Linked DNA regions of Mytilus edulis. The protein of the gene in region 2 purifies or fractionates together with the protein of the main gene of each other region. This does not show direct contact. Links are inferred from orthologs where the notes say so. Each region holds a gene or a part of one and is shown on either strand. Other genes may lie near its edges.

Region 1 (11,096 bases), on a different chromosome or scaffold from region 2:
ATAGCTTACATGTACTATGCTGTTTGGGCTTTGCTCAATATTGAATGCCATATAGTGACCTATAGTTTTAAATTTCTGCATCTTTTGATCTCTCTTATAATACCTGATGATATAAAAGAGCTGATACATTAACAACCAAACGTAAATGAAATAACAATTTTGTGCAGGACAGAAAACACACATATTTTCTTTTGGCAAATAATAACAATATAACAATATAATTAAAACCTGTAGTTTAATAATATTACTTCTTTCTTATCAACCAGGATAAAAAATACTAAAAAGGAATTGGCGGACTCACTTCCCTTCTCAATGCCCACTTGTTATGTTCATGCTAGAATAGAATACAGTGCTTAATTTTCACATTATAAAAACAAATTTACATGATACATGTAATGCAAAACACAGGAAAAGAAGTGTTCACACTTGAACACTTTAACAGGCAAATTAAAAATAAACATTACAATGTTCTTACACATGTTACATTGTCATCAACAGTTAGTTCAAATATATGCAATATATAGAAATATATAGAAAAGTTAATGTGGGGTATACAGCAATGACAGACTAACCCAACATGACACACATAATCAAAGGGCTTGTGAGCTCTGAAGGATAAAGATTACATTCATTTTGTATTGGGAAGTTATACTCAACATTGGCAGGCAATGAATTGTCCAACTAAAATTATGGACAAAGGAAGATAACTCCAATTTTAAATACTACATTATGCACCATGCACAATATAAGTATTTTTTTTATGAGTATGGTTCAACTCAATCACATATTTTTTTAACTTGAATATCAGATTATATATTTTATTTGGTTGATTTAAATGTTTTTTGGGAATGATGTTAAACGAATGTAGGACAGAAAGTCACAGGACAACAAGTCACAGACAAAAAGTCACAGGACAAAAAGTCAATTCATTTTTTCTAATTATTTTCTTTGAGTAAAAAACGCTTATTTTCTACAAAAATATTTTTGTATTTTTCTTGAACTATTGTATACAAACCAACTTTGTAAACAAAATTTATCAAATAATATCAAAATTGATCAAATAATTGTTAAAAAAACAAAATGTCAAAGTGGCTTGGCAGTTAATCAATCGGCTTCATGGTGCCAAGAAAGGGCAGAATCAATTTGCGCCAATTGCAGTTTTGAAAAGGTATTAATTGTGCCACTCTCTTTTATTTTGATGGTATTAATTGCGCCAATAAATGAAATGGAATTGCGCCACATTTACCTGTTAATATGTTTTACCTAAATCAAGACAAGACAAGACAAATACTTTATTAAAGTCTCGCCACTTGTTACATATAAAATATACAGCTTTTTAAAATACAAGTTAACAAGAGCCACTCTATAAAGAGTTTTGAGAGACTATAAAACAATTTTTCTTAAAATTATAATGCAAATACAAGTCAACTGTCACGAGTATAAAATACATTTTCGCTTTATTCAAATTTCATAGCAGGTTTTGGCAGTATAAAATACCATATTTTCATTTTTAAAAAGAAATATAATTTTTTCATTATCAGTGTCCAGAAATCAGAACGTCAATTTTTCAGAACTGCGTGTAAAAGAAAAGCAACCAATGTGTTGTCAGAGCCACCTTCAAAAATAATAAATTCAGAGATCTTCAAAATTGAAGAAGAGAATTTAGAAAAGAAAGATTTAAAATATGTGTGTCAGTCTGTGTATAGAGAGAGAAGAAAACTGCGTCCGGCTTAATCTAAAAATCGAGCAGAATTTCACAGAATATTGGATGATATTGGTATTGTTACAAACAAAGATGATGAGTTTGTATTGTGTAACGATCCAGCAAGCGGTATAATTTTATAAGGATGCAAGGCTAATTTGAAATTTCAGTGTACAATGTCAGAGGAATTTTTTGCTGTTGGTACCTAGTCAATAATTTAGTTGTTATATATAAATAAAAAAATATAAAATTGGCGCAATTAGATGATTATTTTATTGGCGCAAATGATACCTATAGTTTTGAAAATTAGGTGGCGCAAAAGAGGTATTGGCGCAATTAAGTTGTGGCGCAAATGAGTTACTTTTTGGCGCAAAAAGATATCGCCCCCAAGAAATATATCCTTTGCATGATTAGAATTATATAAATCTTCATTTTTCAAGTATAATGACATATTTCCTAAACATTAATATGAATATATGTATTAAAAAGTAAATAGTTCAAGATATTTCTCTTATATATTAAAACAATTGTCAACATACTATTTGTGACTTTTTGTCCTGCGACTTTTTGTCCTATCAAAACTGTGACTTTCTGTCTGTTTACCATGTTAAACACCCCTAGTAGTGGAAAGAACATGTTGTGCTCAATGCACTATGTTTTGTTAATGTCAAAATAGTGATTAAGTCTGGAAAATTCATTTAGTGTTTTTGATTGTATGAATATAATCTTTACCTTCAAAATAAAGCATGTCTATATTTCAAAATATATATGTATATGTGTAAATGTGACCTTTAGCATTTTAGTTATTTTTTAGACGGTTTTCGTAAAAAACGAAAGTGGCCACATTCGTGTTCATCCTTAATATTGAAATGTAAGTTGTATTTGATGATAGTACATAACATATATAAAGGTTGAGGATGAACACGGATGTGGCCACTTTCATTTTTGACAAAAACCATCTGAAAAGTGACATTTTTTGGCATATTTGGTAGATTTTTCATATTTGAGCTAGAATCGAATCATTTTTAATGAATAAATCAGTTAAAATCTTTCACATAAACTAATTGAATCAAATGAAATGGCCACTTAAGTGTTTGAAAAGTGGTCAAAATCTTTCGTCAGATGAACCTGAAATTTGAGCCAAAATCGGTTCTTACCGGACCTATTCCTTTATATAAAGAAACTATGACTTGCAGTTGTTGAGAAAAATGATGAAAATTTCAAATATGTGCATCACATTATAAAGATATAAAAACAGGTATTCAAGTACATAATTTTTCAGCATCTATTTTTTTTTTTAATAGTAAAATACAAACCTTATTCTTAAAACTTAATTTATTTTGCCACAAAAATCTGTGTTCTACAAAAATCGGGTACTTAAAATCTACACTGTGTTGAACGCCACATGCGGGGTGTTGGCTATGCTTGATGCAGGGTGGCAGTTTTGAAGCAAAGAAAAAGGATCAAGGCAAGTTCAAGTATAAAAGTTTCTTTTTTGAAAATTCTTAGTAACAAATAATGTATTACATGGAAGGAACCCAACCAAGCAAGAAGCAGACGTTTATAGTGCTCTGGTTTCTCAAACATCTCTCCCTAGTTTTACGTGTTGCGGATTTTTCGGCTTCATTTGCAAGTTTCTTGATAAAAAAGTACTATTGACGAATTTTTCCGGTATAATTTGTATAGAAATGAATTCCTATCAAGGTGAAATCTATAAAACTCATAAAGAAAACCCAAAATGTGATTTTATTTTTGTCTTTGGAATGTTAAACATAATCGAAGAGAAGATACATTTACTCCTTCGTTTAACTGTAATGGGTAATTGTATTAATATAAAGTAAATACAATAAACATGTTATGCATGATTGAACATATGACAAAAATTAAACGAAATGTTGATAGTCTATCAAAATACAACACTAGAAAAAATATATCTTCTTTCCAGTGTGAAGACTAGAGAAATACTTTGTAGAACTAAAGTGGTCAGATTTCTTAAACATTAGTTCAATAACAAAACATAAGGGTATTCAAACTGCAGTGAAACAATCTATACTATACATTGATGAAAAAGAAAACAACTTAAAATACCAACATATCTTTTAAAATACCTATATTTATCAGAGATCAACTTTCCTTCATATGTATCAAAGGGAAGACAACTGTAATTTTCTGGATTTTTTCCTGAAGGCTGATCTGAAGGTAGACAAGTAAGTAACTCTTCAAATCTTTCAGTTTGAAAGTGAGTACCGGTAAAGAAGTTGATAGGTATAAAGATGGGGTTTGTCCATATATATGTCACGCTTTAAATGCCTTTCATCAACAATGATTTTTATTGATATTGTCCAAGTTTAAAAAAAATTTCAATAAAGAAAAACAGTCTATAAATATAAAGCAATCCCATCATTTTATGTTGTCAATAATATAATAAATAATTAAATGATCACTAAAACAACTGACTTTAACAAAAACATTGATCTTTTTCACTGGCCTTCTTATCCTGTAGCGAGATAACTTGAACATTACTTGGTAAATTTGTTGGAGCAATGAAAGGTGTCATCATGGGTTTGGAGTTTTTCAGCTTATGAGCCAGTGTCATAAAGATGGCTTCAACATGATTGGCCTTTTCATCATCCTTTGCAGAAGTTTCAAATAAAGGCATACTATGCGAGTCTGCAAATTTCTGAGCTAAATTTGTATTTATAGCAACCTTAGCCGTCATATCACACTTGTTACCCACTAGAATTCTCGGTATTTCCTGATTCAGGTTATGACGATCACATTCTTCTATCCAAGATGGCATACTCTCAAATGAACTCATTTTTGTGACATCATAAACAAAGACAACAGCATGGACATTTCTGTAATAGTGTTGTACCATAGATTTACGGAATCTTTCTTGACCAGCCGTATCCCAAAGTTGTAGCTAAAATAACAAAGAAAGTATTTAAAACATACAATGTAAAATCTTGTTTTTATAAAATGGCACAGATTTAATTCAGAGTTAAAATAAAGGTTATGTCAATTATAGACAAAAGCCCCAACAAGGAGTAAATTGACCGTTTTCACTACTTAATTTTTTTGTCAGGTGTGGATCCAGCATTTGATAAAAAAGGGAGACCTGGAAGACAAACATTTGGTGTGAATCTTGTAATCAAAGTTCTTGTTAGCACTGAACGGTAAAGATTGCTTCAATTTTTATCAGTGAGAAGTAAAATTAATTATTGCATTGGTTGTAGTTGATTTAACAGCAAAACTGAACAAAGGAAGATAACTTCATTTTTTTTTAACAATGACATCATTCTATATTTAGAACAGATATTAGATTCCTGGGGTCGATTTCACAAAGAAACTCACGATTAAGATTGGTCGTAAGTATACTGATTTATTCATGACTTAAGACCAATCTTAGTCTTAAGTTTTTTTTGTGAAACTGACTCCAGCACCTTGCAAAAGTAATTTTCTTCTTAGGTTGCCGAGTTATGTTACCTGATGTCAGTTAAATGGGGAATATTGGCTGCCATTTAGCACAAATTAACTTGCCTTTTATCCCTCATTTATATTAACCATATATGCTAAATGAATGATAGTGTTCTATTTCTGAACACAGAAATCTTTTCAAAAAAATGTTGTCATAAGCAAAAAATATCTTAGATTTCAAATTCTCCAAGATACTGGAAGGGACCAGTTAATCATCCCTTTGGAATCTAAATGTCTATGGGAAGTTTTATTGTTTGTATCCAAAATTGTAAATATTAGTCACATCATTGACATTAGTTAACATATCAAATATCCATTGTTTATGGCATTTTAAACCAATCACAATGTTTTGGTGTAGACTTTTTGAAAATATTACCAAAAAGACATTAGATTCTGAAACAGCGAAATTATAGGTAACTGAACTTGAAGGATATGTCATTTCTCATTTATTGTTATTTACTTTAATTTGTTCCTTGTCAACTTCTACCATTCGCTCTCTAAAGTCAACACCAATAGTTGCTTCTGTTTTATCTGGAAATTTTCCACAGCAAAATCTGTATGTCAAACATGTTTTACCAACATTAGAGTCTCCTATAACAATGATTTTGAAAATTCTCTTTTGTGCTTGTTTTTCAATAACTGTAACAGATGATTCAAATTGTTCTTCGTGTGTATTGTCAACAGCCTTAGAGTTTGATAATGGTTCCATCATGTTGCAATGGTTATTTAATCATGTGTGTAACATATTATATATATTGGAAAATTGTATATTTCATTGTTTTGTTACTGTTTTCCTTAATTTTTGACACATTCCAATTATTCGTCGTAGCTTCTTCAATGTCAAATAAAAGCTTGAAAATTGTATTGAATATTCCTTAACAAAAGCGTTTTACTGATTTTTACGATATCATTTTCCATGCTCCTTTCCTTTTAAAATATTTGACATTAGAGACTAATTTATTTCTAAAATTTGACTTAATATAACATTTTAGTACATTATTTTCTTCTATTCAAGCATCGAAATCTCAATAACGAAACAGCGAGAACACCGGAAATATTGCTTCCTCCATGTTGGATAGCATCCTCGTGGTTGTGTATCCTGTTTCCTATGGAAATAGCTGGTTATAAAGCAAACACAGAACCCTAGAGCAAAATGCCCACTAACAATCCACTACCTCCTAAAGAAAATGCCCTTTTTAAAAGAATATTGGTGAGTGAGTTTGCACATTTCACAAAAAGGGGGGAAGTTACCAAGGCCAAGGGGCCAATCAAGAAATTTAAGAATGTGATATTTAAAGAAAGACAAATATTTCTCTGACATTAGAATAAAACCTCAACAGACTAACCTAAGTTTGAGCATCAGGAATTCCCTTAAAAAACTTGAGGGGAACTGGTGTTGTTGCTTACTTGTCTAGTTTTTTAACAGGTTTTGTTCCATCACAGGTCATCTTGCTACACAAGTGTTGCTCATGGCAAGTTGTAATTCAGGGATTGAAGAGCCCCTGCTAAATATCCCATGCAATTTTTTTGTGCATTATGATTTTGCATGTTTATGATGCCAGGAATATTTTGAACAAGGATTGAAAAAAGATGTAGACCGTAACAATGTATGAAGAATGATTAATCTATATAGAGGGACTCATTATGTAGAAATCCATGATATCTCTGCCTATATAAAAATCGGACTATAACAAAATCAAAATTCAATGGAACATGTTGCCACAAGTTGTGGTAGCAAGTCAAATATAAAATTGAGAAAGTCAAACCATTGAAATTTACAGAGATCAGTTGACACCAACTGTTCTCCACAACATAATTTAATTCTATAAATAACAATGTACATATTTTTTAATCACTTGTTGTTTTCTTTCATGTAAATATCACCAAGTATTCTACTATAAAGTTAAAGATAAATTTTTGTTCATATTTTTTAATCATATACTCCGCGCATGCAACAGTTCGTAATCTTCAATAATAATGAAGCTGAAACTGTATATCAGAAGAAGAAGAAGAGACTATAACAAGCTTGGCCTATAAGATAATCGGCCTCCCAAAATCAGACTATAACCAACTCGGACTACTAGCTAGAAGAAAATAAGTATAATGTTGGTTGTTGTTATTGGAAATTAATTCTCAATTCTTAATTTAAAATGAATTGTTATCTACAATTAATTAAATAATATTATATGCATATGTTAATTAATTATGACATCATGTCACATGTATCGTTGACACCTTTTTAATCACCATCATTTAAACAAACAACTGGCACATGTACTGTTGACACCTATCTAATCACCCAAGTCAGGACAAAACTACCTGTTGTTGCACGAAATTGAAAACTATAAATCCAACTTAATATGTCTTGTATTGTCTATAACTGAACTTCAGTTTTTTTTATTACATAACTTGTGTTATATTAAGACAATTTAGTGAATTTTAGTTTTTCTGGTTTCTGATCATATTTTGTATGGTGGACTCTTGGTGTGATTTATCTGTACAATGTAATACTATTTAATGAAGAACACATAGGGTTTACAAATATTATTTCAGTAGATGTCGACAAACAATTAACATAACAATGATTTCGTCATTCAACAATATCTAATATTACTTACAAAAAATATAAGGCATATATAAAACACATACATGACATAAAGCACATTTTAAACTCAAAAGGCATTTTGTCATCATCTAAGACTGAAAGCATGCAGATATAATTGGTCATTGTCAAAGCACACTTTAAGCATACATAGCACATTTAAAACACTAACATAGCACATACAAAACATACATATAGCACATCTGAGTCATATCTAAGATAACATGAAAAATGAATGTTGTTAAGGCAAAAGCACGAGTATAAACATAGGCTGGAGTATTTAACAGCTAGTCATTTGGATTTTTTTTTCATGTTATTTTATAGAAGTATTAATTGGTAAGATCAAAGAAATCTCTTGTTTTTTTTCAATTTTACTCCAAATATATTTCTAGATACATGTGACACTTTAATAAACAAATTTATATACATGTATAATAAATGTTTGCCTCAGCTTGCCTTTCTAAAAACATTGTATCTGTTTGATGTGACCATTTGAATATAATTACCTTTCAATTGCTGAATCCATTAGTAAAGAACTACAGATTAGTGAAATTGTTAAGAAGCCATTCACTGTCAATCAAATTTCTCTTTGTTTATATACTAATCATAAACACCTAGGATTAAACACAATAAAAACATGAACACACACCAATCATTAAAATATCTTTTGTCAATAATCATAATAAATCACAATGATATTTCCAATAGAAGTTAATTGTCCTCATTTAAACACCAATTCAACTCGTATATTAAATATTTTATACATTTCTATATATATGGTCTTTTTTTTCAAAAATATTCTTTACAATCTCATAAATTCGTCTATAATTTTAATATATAAAGGTTTTTTTTATTAAAGTAAAAAAATAACAATCTACTAATCGTAGTCTGAGTTTGTTCAATATATTTCTGCATATAAATAATGGTAGGCCGAGTTTGTTATAGTCCCGAGTTTGTTATGGGCCGATTTTGTTTCAGTCCGAGTTATCCAGCAGCGATTATGTAGATGGGAATCTTCATACACTGGAACAGGTCTGGAAATCCATTAATTAAATTTTTTTTTCAGTTCATTTTTTTTCTTTATTATTACATCAAAACGGCCACTTTAATACAATATATATTTAAGTACTAAAGGAGAAACTACATTAGTGATTATAATTTTACAAGTTACCAAGTCATCACATCAAATATTGAAGATTATCATTAATTAGTCTAATATACCCCTATTCACTTGCTACCTGAGGTCTTCAAGATAAATGATTGTGATATGTTAGTTTTATTTATATTGTATATTTTCTGTAATGACATTAGGGATTCGGTGTCAGAAGAAAGTTTCTGATTTTGCTGAACAATGAAAATTGTATATGTACATGTGAGTGCACTAAAAAGACCGAACTAACAGATACCAGTTATTTTTATGGGGAATTTTACTGAAAATCAAAGGTGCCATATATAAACTCCTCCCTGGAGTTTCTTTAAAGGGAAGGCAGATGTCTAGGGCAACATAATTGTTAGCCTTCGTAGATTTTACTGTAAATTAACTACCTTTCGTGGATACTTTAATTTGCGTTTAGCCTTTACTTGACCATTTTGTGGCATTAATACTACCTTATAAATTGCTCTAAAAAATTAGCTGGTTAACATCTGACATCCGTTGGAAGACACTTATTTTATTATGGCTACTGCCTGGTATAAGGACACTAAATTTTAAAACATCACAAGATACATATTCTCACATGTTTCCTTACCTGTAAATATACAATACAGACAGGATTCTACTTCGTCTAAATTATCTTCCTATTACACCAGTTCATTTTCACAATCGTAGAAACGGAAGACAATTTTTTTTTTCAGAGATCCAACTTAAAGACTGTCGTCAAGCACTTTTAGTAAAATAGCTATTCGAACACACCTACTCTGATTTTGTGATCCATTGGATAGGTATTTCACTTGACCCTATATTTCATCTTTTAGTACTGTGATTTTTTTTTATGTTATAAAGTCAACCTGTAGCTTTGCTATATAAAATGATAGCGAGATGGTGCATCAAATACTCTTGTTTTGTACATTTTCAAGACAAAATATTCATCTCAAACACACCCTAACATAAAAAAAAGGTGCACTCGATTTTCTCTTTTCGATACAATTGTTTCCCATTTTGGAATATTTTCTTGAGTTGCATAATCGAAGGAAAGGCATGGAAATTACTGACTGAACTAATAGATTGATATGTTATAAAAACAATATTAGGTCAATTAATGTTGAAGGCCAGTTTCTCAGCCTCATACAAGAAAAAAGTTTATATTTTTCTTTCATTGACAAATTATTGTATTTTTACAGGTGAGAAAACATGTGAGAATATTTGTCATGTGATGTTCTAAAATTAAGTGTCCTTAACCTCAGACATAACGTCCAATACAATCTAAGTATGATGTATACAAGCTGAAGCCCCACCTATCTTAATTACCATGCTTGAGCAAACACTGATACAAACAAAGCAAGCAAGCCAAACAAAGATTTGTCTTGCTAGCATTAATGTAAAAGCTGTAAAAGTAGGACTTGACTGGCAATAGTGGGTCCTAGAATCTTGGTTAAGATTTTCTGAATTGTTAGACAGGCCTTTTGTTTTGTACATTAATTTGGCGGTTAGTTTTCTTGTCAGAATAATTTCACCTTTGTGATTTGAGGTCCTTTTATAGCTTACTATGCAGTTTGGGCTTTGCTCATTGATTAAGATTATACAGCAGGTTCCTTGAAATCTTTTTTTCCCTGTTAGTCCTTGAAGAAAAACTGTTCGACCTCACTACTATTTCTATTACAAAATACCAAAATTGTGTCGGTCTTTTTCAAATTTTGGTGGTCAAATCCTCGGACCACACTTTTTTGAGAACTCTGGTCTGGTGAAATACAGCTGTTAATCTCTTTGTGACTATGTCATTTGGTGTTTTGTTGAGAAGTGTTTCACTGGCAATCATACCACATCTTTTTTCTTAAACTTTTAAAAGATATATTGAGAACTATTCAGATTAGCTGAAAATAAATTAAATTCATTATAATCCATAATATTGTTTTGTTTTTTTGTAGAAATGTTATGAACAGAAACAGTACAAAAATGGGTTGAAGTTTGCTAAACAGATTTTAAGCAATCCTAAATTTAATGAACATGGAGGTAATATATTTGTAGTGTATTAAATGAAGTGTCTGATATCACATATAATATTTTGCTATGCCCCACCCTCAAACAGTGTCCTATGAAAAATAGGATTAGTCTGGTGTCTTTGTCATTTAGATGGGGACTAGGTTGTAAGCTGTCAT
Region 2 (11,601 bases):
GGGCTTTGCTCATTGTTTAAGACATTGCAGTGACCTACAGTCATGGCAGTGGTTTATTTCTGTGTCATTGATCCCCATTGTTTAAAAAAAATTAATCAACGTGCAGTTTGTTTGATCTCAGTACTTCATCATGTTCATTAGTTTAAATCTGATTATGACATTGAATTTTCTTGCTTTCCTCTGAATTTACTATTGTGACAGCATGAAAAGAGGCGACCATGCCTGATTATGTCACACTAAAAGAACACAACTTTTTGCAGATTATTTGAAAAGAAGGAATTAGTTTGCCTGCATATTGTTAGAAAATCATTAGAGAAACAGATTCCACCACCAATTCTCTTTGTAATACGATATTTATCCACTCTCGACAGTTAAATTTTAAATATTTAAACATGTTAAAACACTTGACAAGCCTTACATTTAAAATTTGAAAATTTAACTGTCTTGAGTGGATGAATATTGTATCACACTCGATGCAGTGGTAGAATCTATATATACATGTATCATTGTTATTCTACTGTTATAAACATACCAAGTTTTGCTAGCTCTCCAACTTCTAATACATCTTTATAGAACTTATCATTGTAAGTCACAGGGAACACCACTTGATTCAACAACTTTAGCTGCTTGATGTTATGAGGAGTTATGTCCCCTAGTTCTGTATGACCTCTGAAAAGAATAGACATAATCAACTTATATAACCTCAGCTGCATCATACATGTATCATAAAAAGTCACATACATGTACCAGTGCTCTAGCTAGAAATCAAAAGGGGCAGGGTGCCAGTGGAGGGCAGGGCACTTTTTATGATAAGAAAAGGCACTGCTCATTTTTTTGTCTACATTTCTGTGTGTATCACGAGTTAACGAATCTCTTTTTTTTTTTTACTGTATATGTTGTTTTTTTTAAATAAAGATGCTTTTCAACTATAGTCTTTATTTCATTGTTTGTGTAGTTATGAATGATATATTACATCCATGACATCTTCATCAACATATTATGTTTTTACAGTTTAACTTCACTCTACCCATTATCAAAGAATATGTGGGTTTTTTTTTCTTTATAGGAATTATAGCTTTTAATGCATCATATGATCTGTAACAACAAATGGAAGTTTTTAACGACCTTGACTGGCTATACAGCCCTTGCACGGTCTGTATGATCTGTAACTGAGAGCATTACTAATTTAACAATGTTTAGAACATGGATTGCTAAAAGTATAATTATCAAGTAGAAATTGCAATATATATTTTTTAATATGTTCAAAGACAGTTAATATCTTTAAGGTAACATTATTATGTTATTATATATTCAATTGGTAATTTATTCCTATTTTTGATACTAGATAATATTTTAAGAGCACAAATTTGTAATAAGCTAAAACAGGGGAAGTAACTCCAAAATCAATTTCCACCACGTTTGGGTTAACTAAAAACTGTGCTTGTCGCTAACAAGTTGAGATGGAAGGCATTTCTGTAAAGGCATAGTTTTATTTTGCTGACTTAAATTCAATTCTAAAGTCAGGAAAGTCTTCACTTATATATGCTCTTCCATTGTGACTTGGAGATCGAAAATGCCGACCCAAGCTAAACACACTCGCTGACACATTCATCAAAAGTATGACAAAAAGATACATTGTCCTAATTAAATTACCTAGTTATTAACACCTTTGAAGTCTTTATCATTGTAATTGAGTGTAATGACATGATTAACCTGGGGGCAATCACACAGGTGTCATATATGTAATTAACTTGGAGATCAGAAATCGATGAAACAAAATTTTACCAAAACGGCACAAGATAATTTTGGAAAAAGACGTCAGGGCAGAAGGGCACGGATGAAGGCACCCAGGGCACGGCGCCCTTCTATTTTGGGCTAGCGAGACCACTGATGTACTATCTTTCTTAGATGACCAGGGAAATGGTGCTGAATTCAATTTAACAGGTTTTTCCAATTTGTCTAGTTGTCCCCAACCTGTTTAATGATTTTGTAAATTGTATTATCACATATTTGTTACAAATACATTGTATGTTGGGTTTTGCATATATACAGTGATATTGTTGTCTTTTTTCAAACCTACCTTTTTTTTGGGGGGGGGGGGGGGGGGGAGAAGTGCATCGTTTTTTGGGGAAATTGGGAAATTTTTAGACATATTTAACCGGAAAGAACATTTGGGGGAGGGGAAAGAAACAAATACAATGACAGTATTTAATACATTGAAACCATGCATGTTACAAACATCCCGATGATTCAAATCAGAATCCCTGATCTCAAAAACGTTTTCATTATATCAAAATAATAACATGAATACGAAATTTACATATCATTACTACCGATGCCATCACTGTTTGGGAAAAATGTACAACTTATTGGGAGGAATTTTAAGCCATTTTATTTTGTAATTGGGAATTTCTCTAGGGGAAAAAGCGAATATCGGGGGTAATTTGAGGCTAACAATATCACTGATATAATAACCTCAAAATTGCTGAGGGCAAAAAAAGAGTATATTGGTTATTGTGCCCTGATTCCAAATGACATAACGTCATTGCATCCTTAACGACTTTTTAATTGCTTCTGTGATAAAAAAAAAAAAAAAAAGAAGATTTACCTGTTGTTTCATTAAATTGTTATAATTAATATTTTTTTCTCTTTTCTGCAAAACTTAAATATGTGATTTATATTATAACATGTCTTTTCCATATTGGCCCTGGTCAGTGTTCTTCCCAAGATTTTTGGATAGCGCTGTGGTAAGTGCGTAATTTTCGACAATTCTCAGTAACTTTGTCACGGCGCGCTGTTTGTTTGTAATTGATTTGTTATTTGTTTTTCTTATATTATGCCATTGATTTTTTTTCTCTTGTAATGATGTCCTCATCATGCTCATTGAAGTTACCCCTTTGTTTGTTAATATAGAAGAAGAGTTTTTTTTCTCCATTGTAAATTCATATAATCCTCATATTATCTGTGCATAAATCCCAAGGAGAAGTCTTTTTCCATGATGGGTCTATACCAGACTGCCTATGTGAAGATTTCTAAGCACTAACAGGTGATGTTGCAGAACATGTCGGACCAACAATACAGTCATTGTCAGCCTCTTGTGTTTGGTTTTGAAACCCACTGTAGCAGTGACTCCAGTTTTCTGACAAGTACTGTCAACCTTACGACGTTTGACCTGTTGACAGGAATTGACATTTTTTAACATCATGATTTCTCATTTTTCTGACCTAAACGTTTTATTCAAATGGCTTCATCCAAGCTGGATCTCGAGAAAGTATCAGCTTAGGGTTTGTTTTTCTGATCGTTTTCAAATGGTAAAATTCATTAATGTAGAATCGTGAATGAACAATTATTAGTTCGAATAGGTGATAATTAATACTTCAAAAGACTTGTTCATTTTTGGGGTTCGTATGGATAGTAAGCCTGGCAAATTGTAACAAACCCCTGTGTTTGATCGTTTTTAAAATCATCGTTTGTTCAAAGTTTGTAAAACAAGTTTATGAGTGTCGTGGGGAAATGCGGTCAATTTATATCATCTCATTTCATGCATATATCATGCATAAATGCCTCTGTATATTCTTTAAATAAAAACAATAGATGTCATTGATGAAATCTTGGTTTATTTTGATCTGTCAAATACGCCATTTTGTAAATTTATTTGACTATTCCCGCTGAGTTACTTAATACAGCGGATATAATTCACTCAGAAATAGTAAACCAGTCGACACGTGATCCGAAGTGAAAAATAAGCGGGAATTTTGAAAAAATTACAAAAAAATATATAGTGTTGCGCTTGCTTTGGATAGCGCTGCGGTCTTTGCAATAGAACAGCAGGAATTGTGATAGCGCTGAAAATCGCGGTGCTAAAACGACCAGGGGAGAACACTGCCCTGGTATCATCCCTCGACCCATATCGGCCCTCGGCTAAAGCCTGGAGACTGATATGGGGTAATACCAGGGCCAATATGGAAAAGGGCATGTTATAATCTATACTTATTCCAACATTTGACAGATTTACTGTGAAAAATACGGGAAAACATCATTAAAACAGAGCTGTTGCTTGGAAACATGCATAGCATTTCCCATACTTTCATACTATTTCCACCTCTTTCTAAAAAATCTGCCCCCTAATGGCCTATCCAATATGGCTGAACTAACTGTGAAGAGCCCTATTAGAAATTATTAAGCGATAGTGTATTTTACACACGTCTTCATTCATTTATGAGGGTGGTAAAGGTTATTTTCGTGCAAGGTGTTTTGCCATTTCACATGCAGCCATGAATAAGGTACGTTATTCACCGTGTTTTCGTGAAATTGGTAATAAGATCAATGTACAAGCCATTTTTTTAATTATTCGTTCATCGTGAAATAGCAATTTTATATCGCATTCTTCCTTGCAGATACCCCCCTCCACTATTACCGGACAATTAAGTCCGATACAAATTATTTGGTTGTGTCAAATCCGGTCAAAATATATGTTCCTGGTAAGTTGTACTACAGTCTACAGGCACCTGTTTCTATCCACGGGAAGGTGGATTTATATAAATATATAGATAGTCGATCTTTCCATTGATGGAAACAAGTGCCTATGAGTAGAATAATAAAATAAAACAGGCCTGGGCTAGATAAAAAGGGGGTTACGAATGATATTGATCCAACAATCGATTTCAGTGCACACTTGGTGTACAATTGGCAGCAATAATAAATACACTACTCAAAGTAAAGATCACAAATATGCACCTTGTCATTGTAAACACTTGATTAACATCAACTAACTGCTCACATGTGTTCCCGCTCCAAAACCGGAAATAAACAAAAATTGTTTTGAATCGGTCCCTTAATTGGGTAAAATTAAATGCTGTTTTGATTGGAATAAACACAAGTACAATAAAAACAAGTACGTTATAAGCCAGAAAACTTTCCGGTTTGTTAAAAGAGCGTCAGTATTCCATGACTTTTCATTTGTAAAAACGTTATCCACGATGTTCCTACAACACGACGTTACACTAAAAATGAGGCGTCAAAGACTTTTTTTTTACTTCGATTAATTTTTGCAAGTTTTATTCCAATTTCGGGTTTTTATATGTTGTTGGTTGATTCTGGTTCTGTTGTTTTTGTGATTTACCTCAAGTTGTGGAAATCGATTTAATAATAATTACAGTACCCTTTAAGTTATTTAACCTAAAAATTCAAAACTGTCACAAGTAATGTAGGAAGGAAAATTGGGACGACTTTAAATGATCTATTTCGGAGTACTTCCGCAACATAAATTGAAATTCGCATTTTACATTTAGAGGACTGTCTTTGTGTCTCCAATTTGTCTTTGCAAAAGTTGAACGATGTTCATGTAATGAGATTTTTTTTCTTCTCTATTCTACCATTCTTTTAAATAAACTTTATAAAAGCGATTAATAAAAATTGCCAAATGTAATCTATTTATGTAATCGAATTTATATGTCCCTGGCCAGAGTCTCTAGCAACATGCACTATTCTTATTTTTCGGCAGCCATAACCATCTTTTTCCAAATTTCACTACACGATTTGTTTTAATTATCATAAACATCAACTGATTGACACTTTAGCACATGTGACGTCGGAAATTAGCGTTTTCCGGATTTTTCGACGTTTTCACACGTTTGGACAAAATGGCTACCGTTTTGTAATGTGTGGAAGCATTTTATACCTTAAAGACCCAGATATGTAGTTGATAAAAAAAGAATCTTGGTATTGTGTACTCTTCGTGTATCTAACTTTTGTTTTGATCAAATGCAGTTTAACTTTTTGGCTTATATCTCAATAACTAAAGCTTTTAGAGCAAATCTGACATGGAATTACATTTTCATTTTCAAGTTAGATAAGTTTGAATGATAAAAATCAGTCGAACACTGAATCTTTTTCCAATAATTCATAGTTTGACGTCGCGAAAATAACAATTTGCGTTTGCAACGTCATCATTACCTCTCCCTGTAACTGGTATGCCCTTAACCCTCTTGCTGCCGACCGTTTTTCAAGGTTGCATTTCATATGCCGGAAAATACGACAGCTCAACGTCTGTGACGTAACATGCCAAACAACCACGTCATTCGATATATGACGTCACGACAAAATGACCACTACATTTGGGACCAATTGGAGAAAAACATGACCCTGTTTATTCTTCTGTATTTTAATTGCCGAAAGAGATACAGCATTGATAAGAAGCTTGCATAAATTTATCCATGGACATATGTGTCCCTCCGGCACTGCCGGTTTGGACATAGGTGTCCCTCCGGCAGCAAATTATTGAAATATGAGTTAAAATATACGCGTTAACTGCTTTGAAAAATGAAATATCAACTTAGACAAAATGGCTAGTTTTGTCAATTTTTATGAAAATGTAAATAGTGCCCCAAAGGGCCCCATGCGAGCTAATGCCATCACTTGGCGTCCGTCGTCTGTGGTCGTCGTCATAAACTATTTAAAAAATGTCCTCCTCTGAACCTACTGTGCCAAATACCTTCAAACTTTAACTAAATTTTCCTTATGGTATCTAGTTTATAAATTGTATCTGAAGTTTTGATCCATCGACAAACATGGCTAACATGGCTAAAATTAAAAACATAGGAGTCAAATGCAGTTTTTGGCTTATATCTCAATAACTAAAGCTTTTAGAGCAAATCTGACATGGAATTACATTTTCATTTTCAAGTTAGATAAGTTTGAATGATAAAAATCAGTCGAAAACTGAATCTTTTTCCAATAATTCATAGTTTGACGTCGCGAAAATAACAATTTGCGTTTGCAACGTCATCATTACCTCTCCCCTGTAACTGGTATGCCCTTAAAAGCCGCCGGGTTCACGGAAACAAATTGACCAAGCAACTTGGCACTTGATGGAAGTGATTAACGACCTTGACTGGCTATACAGCCCTCGCACGGTCGGCTCGGTGCCCAAGGCGTTAGATGAGCGTTTGAATAATTTCTGCAGTGGGTCAGAAACAGGCGGTAGAGGACGCCATTTTGGAAGACCACCATTTTGGTTTTGGTGAGTTCTTTTTGGTTTGTTTACTGCCTTCACAACGGCTGCTTTAAATCGGGGCCTGGTCAGCTTGGCAGCCTGCTAACCTCGATGATGGAGTACTGGTAGATGAGTCTTGGACTTGGTATTAAAGATGACAGGAAGCATTATCAGGACCAAAGCCGTGACTCGGGCAGTGAAATAATGGTCAATCATCTAACACCTAGGATACAGCCCTCGCACGTCAATCGGCATAACACTCCCCCATCTACAATGGGTTTTGGGGTGCATGTTAACGCGGAAATAAACGCCAACAACAACGTTTACTGTACAGCGTTGGATAGGTTTCTGTCATCTATAAAAGTAGTAAGTCGTTGATCATCCAGCACGTCCGTTCAGCTGTAATGACTGAGGCGTGACTGATTCTACTTGGGACGAATTGGTTGATACGAATCGGAGTTGGGACGAATCATCCAGAGACGTTTGTGAGACCAGAGACATATAACGTTGTTGTTGGCGTTTATTTCCGCGTTAACATGCATCATATTGTATTCATCTAAATGTTTGAATAATATGAAATTGTATACTGTACTGTATTTTAATTGTATACTAATTGCTCTGTAACTATATATAACACGTTAAAAATAAAAAAGGGAAAATAAATAATTCCCGTTTTGGTCAAGTTTTGATATTTCCAACTCAATGAGTGCTGAAACATTGTGTATTAGATTTTTTTTCATTTAGAAATGAGTACTAATTTCACGGTCCAACAGGAAATGTAAATACAAAAATTATCATCAATGCAAACAAAATCATCAAGTTATCATTTTATATGTACGAGAGTTGTGATACTCAAATACGATTACTTTAATTTACATCTCCTCTTTATAAGTGTCTTATCTAAAGAGTATTGACGCTCTTTGTCATTTCCGGTTCCTGTATGTCTTGACTTCAAGAGTACTGTCTAGTACTATACGTCACAAGTATAATACCACAGAGTATCGCCACTCTTAGGTTATAGCTCTTTTTGCTAAAGAGTATAAAAAAAATTTGCAAATATATTTTCAAGAGTAGCGATACTCAATTAAGCATTGTCTACCTCCATTCTTAGAATATTCCGGTAAAAAAGTTTTATGGTCCATGAGAAGTAGTATTTTAGAAGCATTTTTTTAACATCTACACTTTAAATAAGTTTATTTTTGACGGAGTATCGATACTCTTTGAAACTGTTTTCTACCTCAAGAGAATCAATATTCTTTTAAACAGGTTACATTGAGTGTGTTGAACATGTTGAGAGTATCGATACTCTTAAAAACGGGTTTCTACTTTGAGAGTATCGACAGTTTTCAACGTTGAGAGTACCAATAATTTTTTAAACAGTTTTCTTCCATGGATGTATCGATACTCTTAAAGCAGCTCCTTTTTTTTTACCTTGAGTGTTTTATACCTTTTTAAACAGTTTTCTACCTTAAGAGTATCGATACTCTTATTAATGGTTTTCTATCTTGAGAGTATCGATACTCATTTAAACAGGTTTCTACTTTGAGAGTATCGATACTCATTTAAAGAGGTTTCTATCTGAGAGTATCGATACTCATTTAAAAAGGTTTCTACCTTGAGAGACTCCTTGAAATTTTTTGTGACCTAGTTCATTCTTGAAGACCGTATGGTGGCCTATAATTGTTAATTTCTGTGTCAATTGGTCTTTTGTAGCGAGATTGGTCTCATTTACAATCATACTACATCATCTGAGCGTTAATGAAGTTGAGCTACTAATTGTTTTCTTCGATCCATAGATTAGAATGGAATACACTAACGAGTCTTAAAACTTAACCAGTTGAACTTTGAAGTACTGCTAAAAAAATGAAAAAAAGGGCAGCTTTATGTATTTGGTTAACAGGAAGTTGATAAGTGATGGATGTATATAAGGCTCACATAAAACACCATTAAAAATTTCGAAGACCTTGATGTGTGATTTCTGGGAAGAATGCAACAAAAAAATTCCTACAGAACCATTATTATTAAGAATTAACCAGTAGTAAGAAAAGTTGAGGAGCATTGAAATTTTTAAGTGCATGACAGTGTATAAATTGATGAAATGCGGCTTGATATCACATTTTTAAAATTAATTGAGAGAAGTTTCTGAAATAAATGAAACTCATGTTCTCCTCCATTCGGAACAGGGGAATACAAACATATAACAAAAGTTAATAAATATATACACATTTTGTTTATTAACATTTTATATGGATTTTGACAGCAAAAGTATCATCTTTTTCCAGTCTTCCTCTTTTTTATGTCCTTTTGCTTGAGAACTCTCTCTACTCCATCAAGTCCAAATTTAACAAAGTATCCTGTAAAAAATATATACCTTAGAGTTATGATATTATTATATAAGTTATTTAGATTCTTTTAATTGATAACGTTACTAAATCAAAGAAAATTTCATTCTATAATATACGATATTGGACTTTAACGGCTATGCAGGTGAAAAAAGTGTTTATATAATTTTCAACCTTAAACGAATACCGTTTGTATTCTAATTTCTAAATATTTTTTTTTACTTAGAATATCGATCAAAGGTAAATTGATACTGTTGGTGATGTATTGTTTGTTGTCTAGAGCTAAAAGTTGGTTGTATTGAAGACAACACCCACCTTTACTCCTTTTTTCTATGATATCAGCTTCATACCACTTCTGGTCCTGCTTCCAAAAGCATAAAATCTTTTCTCCGTTCTTGTACTCCGTGTTTTCCTAATAAAACAACACAAAATGAACATAGTTAATTGCCAGGCAACTGACTTCTATGTAAAAGGTATTACTTGGTTTTTTCTTTCATAAAATAAACCCCAAAATGTCTATAAAATATATGAACCAAGTATTTTTATAACATAAAACGTATTAATTATAAGAAAAAGTTTTGGGTATCCAATATTCTGCACAGTCAGCGTGAGATTATAAAAAAGCCTAACGGCATAATGAGAGAACTGATATTTATCAACCAAATATATAGTTTAATAGACTAAACAAGAAGTAATTCATTGTAATCTTTAAATTTTACAGAGTATACCCAGTAAACACACGACGTACTCCCGACGTCGGTTAATGGTCGTCTGAACGTCATGTCGTGAGTTTACGTCGTACCAACGTTGTGGGAACGTAAAAATCCAACGTTGGATGCAGACGTACAGACGACGTTATAAAATTACGTCGGCTTCACGTAAACTTAGTACCTTGTCAGGACGTAACATTTTATTACGTTGTGACAACGTGCTTATAACTGTCATAATCCGACGTAACATTTTGTTACGTTTTGTTACGTCGTATCGACATTATAAGAACGTAGTGAATACATTGTAAAAATCTGGTTTTATGGGACGAATTTTTGGGGTATGTCATAATGAGTATTCCTGGATGTATCGATCATTCACCTTAACTAGAAGATATTTACGATTTTTTCGATTTAAAAAAAAAAAACTCCCCCTTTTTTCCCCGCAGACATAATTTGCATCAAGATGTCAAAGAAAATATTACAAATCCAATTTTAATGTTCTAATATATGTATTTTATATGAATATTTATTGTTTAATATATCATTAAAATTTTGTCATCATTTATCACTTGGATTTCATAATCGTTTTTCACGATTTGATTAGTGTAACGTTCAGCAGTACTCGGGTTTTACCGCAGCATACTGTATGTATGTACTGGTAAATGCCTCCGATATCCGAAGAACCCCTCGAAAGCTGCGAGTGTACAGTGGCATCCATGTACACTCCCTAACGGGATTAATGGAGATGTGTCACTAACGTATATTTATACGACAATTATTTTTACAAGGACAACCAATCCCCACCCAATTCAACACAAAGGGAGTGCTAGGACACCGGGAAGTCTGTTATTGTGGTGGAGGAAGCCGAAGTACTCGGAGAGAACCACCGGGCCACTCGGTGGAAACAGACAAACCAGAGAGATATCAGAAGATTGATCTCCAGGTCAAAGTAGGGACACTTTGACCAACCGAGGCCCCCAACGTACCCATTCTAGTTTAAACTCCGGTCTGGGTACCAGAGATGTGTGTGAGAGGGTGAAAATTACCCTTCTAATGTACTGAGATTTTTTAGCACCCCGAGTGAGAATCGAAATCGAGAATTGAAAACAGTGAGGAATTTGCAGTGGAAATTTAGCTTAATCCAGATTCCAGAACAAAGAAAAAGGTAAAATAATGATTGCACATTACACCAAATAGGTTCTCCATGATAAAAACAAGTTTGATTGATGAAAATAACAGCTGTTACCGTGTTGGGCGCCTCTTTCAAGTCTGTTATACGTGACCGTGTTGAAATATGATACTTTTTCTTATACTGTCAATATATTGCACTGATACAAGATATTTTAGCCATAATGTGTGTTATTTGAATCTATTTATCAAATTGCTTGATTAACTTGTGTTGTTTCTGAAGATATATGCAATTAAAAATAAGTAATAACTGTAGAAAGTAAAAAAAAAGGGGGAGGGGTGCACAGCCACAAGTACTTGTTTTCTATCTGTGACAAGAGCTACTATCCCTATATATTAAGGCTACAAGTGTCTTTTGCTCTGTTAT

Evidence for each region.
Region 1: the proteins of N-alpha-acetyltransferase 50-like (region 2) and N-alpha-acetyltransferase 15, NatA auxiliary subunit-like purify together in Drosophila melanogaster (affinity purification with mass spectrometry, with the first as the bait; 3 studies listed by BioGRID). This does not show direct contact. The link is inferred for Mytilus edulis from reciprocal best matches to the Drosophila melanogaster genes san and Naa15-16.

What each region holds. Positions count from the first base shown.
Region 1 is NC_092351.1:26,354,090-26,365,185, forward strand, and holds the start of N-alpha-acetyltransferase 15, NatA auxiliary subunit-like, read left to right. Parts: upstream 1-6,070; 5' UTR 6,071-6,332; coding exon 6,333-6,389; intron 6,390-10,865; coding exon 10,866-10,950; intron 10,951-11,096. Other genes in the region: ras-related protein Rab-33B-like, read right to left, coding at 4,161-4,625, 5,640-5,891.
Region 2 is NC_092348.1:77,360,310-77,371,910, reverse strand, and holds the start of N-alpha-acetyltransferase 50-like, read right to left. Parts: upstream 4,844-11,601; 5' UTR 4,746-4,843; coding exon 4,738-4,745; intron 670-4,737; coding exon 533-669; intron 1-532. UniProt on the Drosophila melanogaster protein: N-alpha-acetyltransferase that acetylates the N-terminus of proteins that retain their initiating methionine. Has a broad substrate specificity: able to acetylate the initiator methionine of most peptides.